2 linked regions of the Coturnix japonica genome follow. The protein of the gene in region 1 binds, or shares a complex with, the protein of each later gene. Links are inferred from orthologs where the notes say so. Each region holds a gene or a part of one and is shown in the gene's direction. Other genes may lie near its edges.

What was found. The genes of interacting proteins can lie anywhere in the genome.
Region 2: the proteins of PRKAA1 (region 1) and PRKAB2 are in contact, whole or in part, in a crystal structure (PDB 4RER), measured with the Homo sapiens proteins. The link is inferred for Coturnix japonica from reciprocal best matches to the Homo sapiens genes PRKAA1 and PRKAB2. Residues at the interface, in NP_006242.5 of Homo sapiens: Gly20, Val22, Lys40, Lys42, Asn59, Arg60, Gln61, Lys62, Val69, Arg73, Val93, Ile94, Ser95, Thr96, Pro97, Ser98, Asp99, Ile100, Met145, Met175, Ser176, Asp177, Gly178, Glu179, Phe180, Arg199, Leu200, Ala202, Pro204, Glu205; in NP_005390.1 of Homo sapiens: Val80, Arg82, Ser84, Ser108, His109, Asp111, Ile115, Ser138, Asp159, Phe160, Glu161, Val162, Ala165, Leu166, Ser182, Ser184, Gly190, Gln191, Glu192, Met193, Tyr194, Ala195, Phe196, Glu199, Arg201, Lys203, Ser204, Pro205, Pro206, Ile207.

The regions. Positions count from the first base shown.
Region 1 is NC_029547.1:11,802,847-11,806,391, reverse strand, and holds part of PRKAA1 (5'-AMP-activated protein kinase catalytic subunit alpha-1), read left to right. Parts: intron 1-1,336; coding exon 1,337-1,823; intron 1,824-2,913; coding exon 2,914-3,040; intron 3,041-3,545. UniProt on the Homo sapiens protein: Catalytic subunit of AMP-activated protein kinase (AMPK), an energy sensor protein kinase that plays a key role in regulating cellular energy metabolism.
Region 2 is NC_029523.1:4,168,123-4,172,133, reverse strand, and holds the start of PRKAB2 (5'-AMP-activated protein kinase subunit beta-2), read left to right. Parts: upstream 1-1,209; 5' UTR 1,210-1,284; intron 1,285-1,791; exon of another isoform or gene 1,792-2,430; 5' UTR 2,431-2,446; coding exon 2,447-2,608; intron 2,609-2,934; coding exon 2,935-3,101; intron 3,102-4,005; coding exon 4,006-4,011. Other genes in the region: dimethylaniline monooxygenase [N-oxide-forming] 5-like, read left to right, coding at 1-70, 401-473, 548-911. UniProt on the Homo sapiens protein: Non-catalytic subunit of AMP-activated protein kinase (AMPK), an energy sensor protein kinase that plays a key role in regulating cellular energy metabolism.

The DNA.
Region 1 (3,545 bases):
GGACAAAGAAGTATCTATTGGAGGCTACAGTAAAAGATATACTTTATAGGAATTTTGAGAAATTTGAATTAGGACTGTGTTTATAAAGTTGCTGCAGAATGACGTGCAAAACTGCACAGCACTATTGCTTTCTGGACAAAGAACTTCTTGGCTTGGTTCTGTGCTTTAAATATCTGAGGAGACATTACAGATCTTCTTCAGCGTAACTACTGTTTAATTCATGTTTCTGGAGACTGTGAAAAAGACACGGTGTCTTACAGATGGAATATTCATCTTAACACTTCTTATTCTGGCTTCAAAGGCCTGGCATGAGAATGTGTAAGACTGACATTTACTACACAGAATTTTGGTGAGCTAAAGCTACAAATGTATTTGAATACGGAGCCCACAAAAGCTGTGATTTTTGAAGTGGGTGTTTGCTTTGGCAAATATGGAATGTGTAAAGCAAAGACTTGGTATCTGGTAAGCTGCTTGAAGAAGCACAGCTTTAGGTTTTTCTGCTTCCTTTTTGAGAAGCTCTAAGAAGAGCACTGAAATACTATCTTAGTGAAGAGGCTGATCAGAAAACAAAAGCAATGAGAACTAAGAGCTGTATGACTTGAGTGGATAGGATCTTAGCTAATGTAAGTCATCTAAAGTCTAGGGGAAGTATTGGAAAAGATGTTGAAAAATTTTGGTTGCAGAGCATGGATGGATTTTGAATCCTTAACAGTTCTGTACTCAACCTTAAGACATCATGTCAGTTTAAAGGGCAATCCGACTCTCATTAACTGAATACCTTAATTGTTTCGTGGCCAAATGTGTGCATGTGCAAGAGGAGAGGCTCATTTTAAAGAGCAGTAATAATGTTCTAGGCACATTTACCCAGCTGGGGCAGTGCTTTTTAGTGGCATAGGAAAAGCTTTCTCCCATACTGAAGTGGTCATTACTGATGAAAGTCTGTTTAGTGTGTGAAGCATAAGAATTTCAGCTGAAATATTCTTAAATAACCATCCATTTAATATGCACAACAAGTTGATGAGTTACAATAAGGTGTTTTTGGAGCTCAGATAGTTGCAACACTTCTAAGAAAGAAGGTGTAGGTTTTTATTTATTTTTTATTTTTTAATCCTGAATGCATAACAAAACGTTGTGAAGCCATTAATGCTTGCTTTTTATTTTATAGAATTTTTCAGTTACTTTAGTGTGTGGGATGTTTTGTTGGAAGTGCATAGAAGGGACACTTGGGCTGACAGTTGTGATTTCTTTGTGTATGCATGAAATATAACTTAAAGAATCTATTGCCAAGAAGGTTTGCTCCACATACAGACTTAGACTTTGCTATTTTTAAATCTAGGGAACACGAGTGGTTTAAGCAGGACCTTCCCAAATACTTGTTTCCCGAAGACCCTTCATATAGCTCTACCATGATTGATGATGAAGCCTTAAAAGAAGTATGTGAGAAGTTTGAATGTACTGAAGAGGAAGTGCTAAGTTGTCTGTATAGCCGAAATCATCAGGATCCTTTAGCAGTTGCTTATCACCTCATTATAGATAATAGAAGAATAATGAACGAGGCCAAAGACTTCTACCTGGCTACTAGCCCGCCAGATTCTTTTCTTGATGATCACCATCTGTCTCGCCCTCATCCTGAGAGAGTGCCATTCTTAGTAGCTGAAGCACCGCGGCCTCGCCATACTCTTGATGAGCTGAATCCACAGAAATCAAAACACCAAGGTGTAAGAAGAGCAAAGTGGCATCTGGGGATACGGAGTCAGAGTCGACCAAATGATATAATGGCTGAAGTTTGTCGAGCAATTAAACAGCTGGACTATGAATGGAAGGTAAAAGCATATTACTTCTTTATTACAAGAAGCAGTAGATTTTGAGCTGTGTTGTTATATAGCCTAGAAGTCTAAAAAACTGCATCTTCCGTATATAGTCTGGTTCAGCAATAGCTATAAGTACATTAATTTAAGGACTGGTATATTAGTTCAGCAAAAAGAAATTTGTGTGCTAGTTCTAAAACTTTCCAGTTTAGCTTTGCTTAGTATGTGAACAGTCATGTTTTTCTGAATGATCCTTGCTCAATGAAGTCAAAATAGATTACTTTTACCTTTGCATCCACCAGGTGCAAGGACTTTTTCTTGGGTTTCATATAAATTGTTTTGAGTTATAGTGTACCAAGATAGAAAGTTGCTCATTATGGCATAACAAGCAATGGAAATTTGCCAAACTGGGGGAAAACAGCTAAAGGTCAGCTAGGCAATATCAAGAGGAAACTGAAGGAAGTGGTCTGTGACCATCCTAGGTTCCCACTGTGCAGGCCCAACAGGGTTTTTAACATATATTAATGAATTCTTGGAAAATAATGAATATGTAGTTTCCAGAAATGTATTGCATGTGAATGGCTTAAATGCTTAAATTTAGAACATGAACTCCAGGAGTGAGTGCTTGATTTGTCAAGTTGCCAGGTATGTATCATGAACTAAAAGGAATGCTGTTTTTCTTACACTATGTTGGAGTTAGCAAGTTTACTTTCCTGATTTTTCTGATGACATTCCTGTGCAGGAAAACAAGTGTGTGTGTGTGCACCAACAACTTGCTTACTGCATGAAAATGGTTTTGGAAGAGGTAATTTATGCTGAAAGAAAAAAAGTTGTGTTAACATGTCTAACTTTTCTGCTGGGGCTCTAAGGATGTGTGGGTTTTCTTTTTTTTCTTTTTTCTTTTTTCTTTTTTCTTTTTTTTTTTTCCTTTTGCCAGTAGGAAAAAGCAAACAAACAAACAAACAGACAAAAAAAAAAAAACCACCAAAAAACGCACCTTAAGAGGCAAGCCTGAAATCCCTTGATATTAGTAAGTTGAAATAAGAACAGTATGGTCTGCATCTCAAGCAGTTCTGGTAACTAACTCAAATCTCTTTTGTAATAGGTTGTAAATCCATACTACTTGCGTGTTCGAAGAAAGAATCCAGTGACAAGTGCATATTCTAAAATGAGTTTACAGCTGTATCAGGTGGACAGCAGAACATATTTACTGGACTTCCGTAGCATTGATGGTATGCAAAGACTTGTGTTAATGGAACTATAAGGGAAACTGTTCTAAATTCCAGGTCTTAATTTACTTGTGAATAAGTGAATTAAAACTGTTACCCTTTATCAGCTAAAGCCAGATCTCAGTTTTAGTATTTCTTTGCTCCTTCCTGCTCTAGTGCTCCTGTAGTCAAATGATTAGCTGGTTCATCTCTCAAAACCCTCTTTAGCTGTATCAACTCCTCAGTTATTGGTTTGTGTGTCTCTACCAGCACTGATGCCACTGGTACTAAAAGGGGCAGCGCTATGAAGAAGCAATACTTAGGTTACTTTAACTGTCTGCTGCTGCTTAGATCCAGTGATACTTCATAAAAGGGTCTAATCACTTTACTGTACTAACAATGTAAGAAAAATACCAGTTCAGTGGGAGGGAAGAAGACTGCCTAGAGCCACTCAGCCAAGAAAGGACAGCCTGTCTTTTCAGTCATGAAGCTGATTTGGTATTTCTTTTTGCTACAAATAACTATTAAG
Region 2 (4,011 bases), on another chromosome or scaffold:
ATCCAGCCTCTGGGAGCCATCATGCCCATCTCGGAGATGCAGAGCCGCTGGGCCACCCGTGTCTTTAAGGGTAAGCGAGGCGAGCCGGGAATGCACTTCTCTGGGTATGGCAAGGCCAAATTATTCAGTTGCTGGCATGTGCTCCTCCTTTTATCATCCTTCTATGAAGGGATATAAAACATCACTGCATTTTGCAACAAGTGTTGCACTTTATTTCATCACATACAGCTGGTAATGGATCTCCTCACCTGCAAACCATTTTCTCTCTCTTATTTCTTTGCCCATGCCTCTCTCTTGCCCCATTTGGTGGCCCAAAGGCTTTTCCTGTGGCACAGCAGCCACGCTGGGCGCAGAGGGACACAACTGCTGATAGCACAGCTCTCTGCTTCTCCTTCTGTAGGTCTGCACAAGCTGCCCCCAACCAGCACCATGTTGGCTGACATCACACAAGCCAAGGAGAAAATAGCCAAGCGGTAAGAACCCTGCGGGGCACCAACCTGCCACCACCTCCTCGATGAGCACACACAGAGCCTGTCCCTGCCCACAGGTACGTGGCCAGCCGGCGGCACACCATCCAGGTGGATTACATCCCCTACATGGACGAGCTCGCCTGCCAGCTGGGCGTCAAGCCCAACGTGCCGCTGCTTTTCCTCACTGACCCCAGGCTGGCGCTGGAGGTGCTGCTGGGGCCCTGCACGCCCTACCAGTACCGCCTGCATGGCCCCGGCGCATGGCAGGGTGCGCGGGAGGCCATCCTGACTCAGCAGCAGCGCGTGGAGCACCCGCTGCGGGGCAGGGCCGGGCACGGCCGCTCTGTGCCGCCCTGCAGCTCGGTGCCACACAGCTTCAAGGTCCTCTTCAGCCTCGGACTCATCGTGGCCACGCTCATCTACGTCTCGCTGTCCCCATAGCCCCTAGTGAAGAGGGCTTTGGCCATCCCCTAACTCTGCCTTGGGTTTCGGTGTCGCTGGGAGGGGCACGGGGCACGTTTTCCTCATGAGAAAGGCAATAAAGCTCGTCCTTGTTCTCCATGAAGGCTCAGGCTCTGGGCTGCGCTCATTAACGCCCGCACTGCACAACGCAAACTACTCGCACCAGGCCGCGCTCCCACAGCAAAGATGGCCGCTCTCCCGGAAGCCACACCGCCCTCAAACAAAATGGCTGCCCGGTACCATAGAGAGCAGCGCGGGGGCGGGACAGAGCGCCCCGCAGAGGCTGGCGGTGGAGGCGGCCGCCATTTTGATCGGAGGCGGAGAGCGGGGCGGCGGCGGCGGCGGCGGGCAGGTGGGGCTGCGAGCGGGGCTGCCATGGGGGGCTGCGCTGCCCCCGTGTGCTGTGGGGCCGGGTTGGGTGCTGGGTGTCACGGCGGGGCGGGGGGCCCGGAGCGGACAGGAGGCGGCAGGGGGTGGGGCTGTCAGGGCGGCGGTGCGGGGGGTGACGCTGTGGGCGGTGGTGCGGGTGTCGGTGCCGTTGGTACCGTAACGCCGCGCCCGGTGACACCGCTATGGCCGGCACTGTGCCGGGCGGTGCTGCAGCGGCCCTGCACATCTCATCGTTGCCGTGGGGTGAGCCGTGGGCTCGCTGCCCTCTGAGGGCTTAAGGAATACTCGAGTAATTGCCCCGTAATGGTTTAAAGCCAGGCTTTGGCTGGCGGCCTCACCCGGCCCTCCGCACATAGCTTGATGTTCTAAGCAAATCCGCAGCTGTCACAACGCACCCAGTGAATCAAGGCTGGCTCCCTGCAGAACACAGCCGGCTGCCCCAGCGATGGGCTCAGCCCATGTATCGCCCGGCGCTGGGCAGACACGCAGCCCTGGGGTCGGCTATGAGCGCAGCCTGCTCAGCAGCACAGCCTGCACACACCGTGTTGTTACTCCTTGCCCTGGCCGCACTCCAGCCTGGCCGATTCCACTCCTGCTACTTGCAGCACTGTTGCTGTGCCAGCCGTGAAGCCGTGCTGCTCTGCCCGCAGGCTCACCCACACTCGTTGGGAGCTGTTAACAGCTGCTACTTTCACTCTCCGGCTGTTTTCCTGCTGGCTGTAGCGTTGTGTTCTGTGCAGGCTGACTGTGGGGTTGTGAAAGAGGCTCTGTTAGTGCCGGGAGACAATCTGCCACTCAAGGGTGGCTTTATTTCTCTCATCAGCCCTTCTACTTGTGTAGGATGTGGTCTAACTCACTTTTGTTTTAGGGTATAACAATTACCGGCTTAACTATCACGATGGCTCATAAGGGTATGCCTATAATTAGTTCAGCCTGTCTCGCTTGTTAAATTCCCCTTCGGCTCCCAAACTTGGCATCGGGGAAGAACTTTGGGCCTTTTTTAGGATTGCTGTCACTCTGTGCTGGCAAAAGGCAGCGGGAAGCAGCACCCTGCTCCCTGCTGGAGCCCACGGACATAGGCAACACTGCCTTCTTCCCCCTCTCACAGCGGCTGCTGAGCTGTCATGGGAAACACCACCAGCGAGCGAGTGTCCGGTGAGCGCCATGGCTCCAAGTCCCACCGCTCCGACGGCTCCGGCGCTGCCCATCCCACAAAGGAGCACCCACACAAGATCATGGTGGGCAGCACAGATGACCCCAGTGTTTTCAGCTCCCACGACTCCAAGGTAGGGGGCTGGCTGCTGCCTTTGTTGTCCTCACGTCGGGTGCTGGGTGGTGTCCCATAGGGGGCTGTGCTGGGCTGAGGCTGCTTTCAAGGAGAGGATTTTTGGTTGGGAGCAGCCCTCTGTTTAATTCAAGCTAAATACAGGCAGGGTGGCAGTGTGCCGGGGTACAGCTTTCATAGCAGGAACCACAAGCTGAGCTGCAACACAGGAGAAACATCTCCTGGGATGGATGGGTGGAGCTGCCTGCCCAGCCTGAGGTTACTATTGTCTGCAATGTGCAAATGGAGGTGGAGGGAAATGAAACGGCTCTGGTGTTCTCTGCTCAGATTCCAGGGGACAAGGAGTTTGTTTCATGGCAGCCTGACCTGGAGGAGTCAGTGAAGCCATCCCAGCAGGCTCGGCCCACTGTCATCCGCTGGGCTGATGGAGGCAAAGAGGTCTTCATCTCTGGATCCTTCAACAACTGGAGCACCAAGATCCCGCTCATCAAGAGGTAGCTATACCCCTTGGCTCACCCCGTGTTCTCCTCCATCAGTCGCAGGGAGCGTTTTTCTCAGTGCCATTTGCTGTTCCCTTTGCCCAACCTGGCTTCTCACAGTTCATCATGCCCGAGCTCGAGGTGTGAGCACAAATATGCAGCCAGCATCCTGCCTGGGGGCTGCTGCAGTGGTAGGGAGAAACTGTGAAATGGGACAGGACAGGATGGGCCTCCTTGCTTTCCCAATTACATGCCACACAGCAGCCATCCTGGCAGCAGGGCCCTGCCCAGGTGTGCTGCAGCTCTCTGAAGCTTGGTGGCCCTTCTCCTTGCCTGCTTGTGTTGCTGCTAGAGGGAGTTGTTTGGTTGTCCCTCACCTGTCCTCCTTCCATAGCAGTGTCCTCGTTGTTCTGCAGTACACCTGTGTTTTCTGTGGAAACACTATGTAGGACTGGGCATAATCCCAGCAAATACCTGCCACGGGATTATCTCGACTGCAGACTTCACAGGCACTTCATGCTTTCATCCTGCAGTACCAGCACAGGTTTAGATTCGTTGTTCACTCGCCCTGTCCAGTGTGTCTTGCACTTGCCATCATGTGATCCCACACGATGTGTGGGGCAGGGCTGCAAGCTGAGCTCCTGTTTGCCTTGTGTCCTGATTGGAACAGATGATCTTAGTGTTTTTTTCCAACCCTAATGAGTCTACGATTCTATGGGCCCTGAGGGATCTGAATCATCCTGGGGCTCTGGGCACTCGCACCTGCTCTGGCCATGCCTTGAGTGATGAGCAATCCTAACCCAGCACATGGGTGTTTGGGTCGAGGGGGCAGGCAGTGCATGACAAAGTGCTCTTCTCTGGGACAGCATCCAAAGCATCACTGCAGTAATGGTGTTGTACATCTGTTCTCTCTGCACAGCCACAA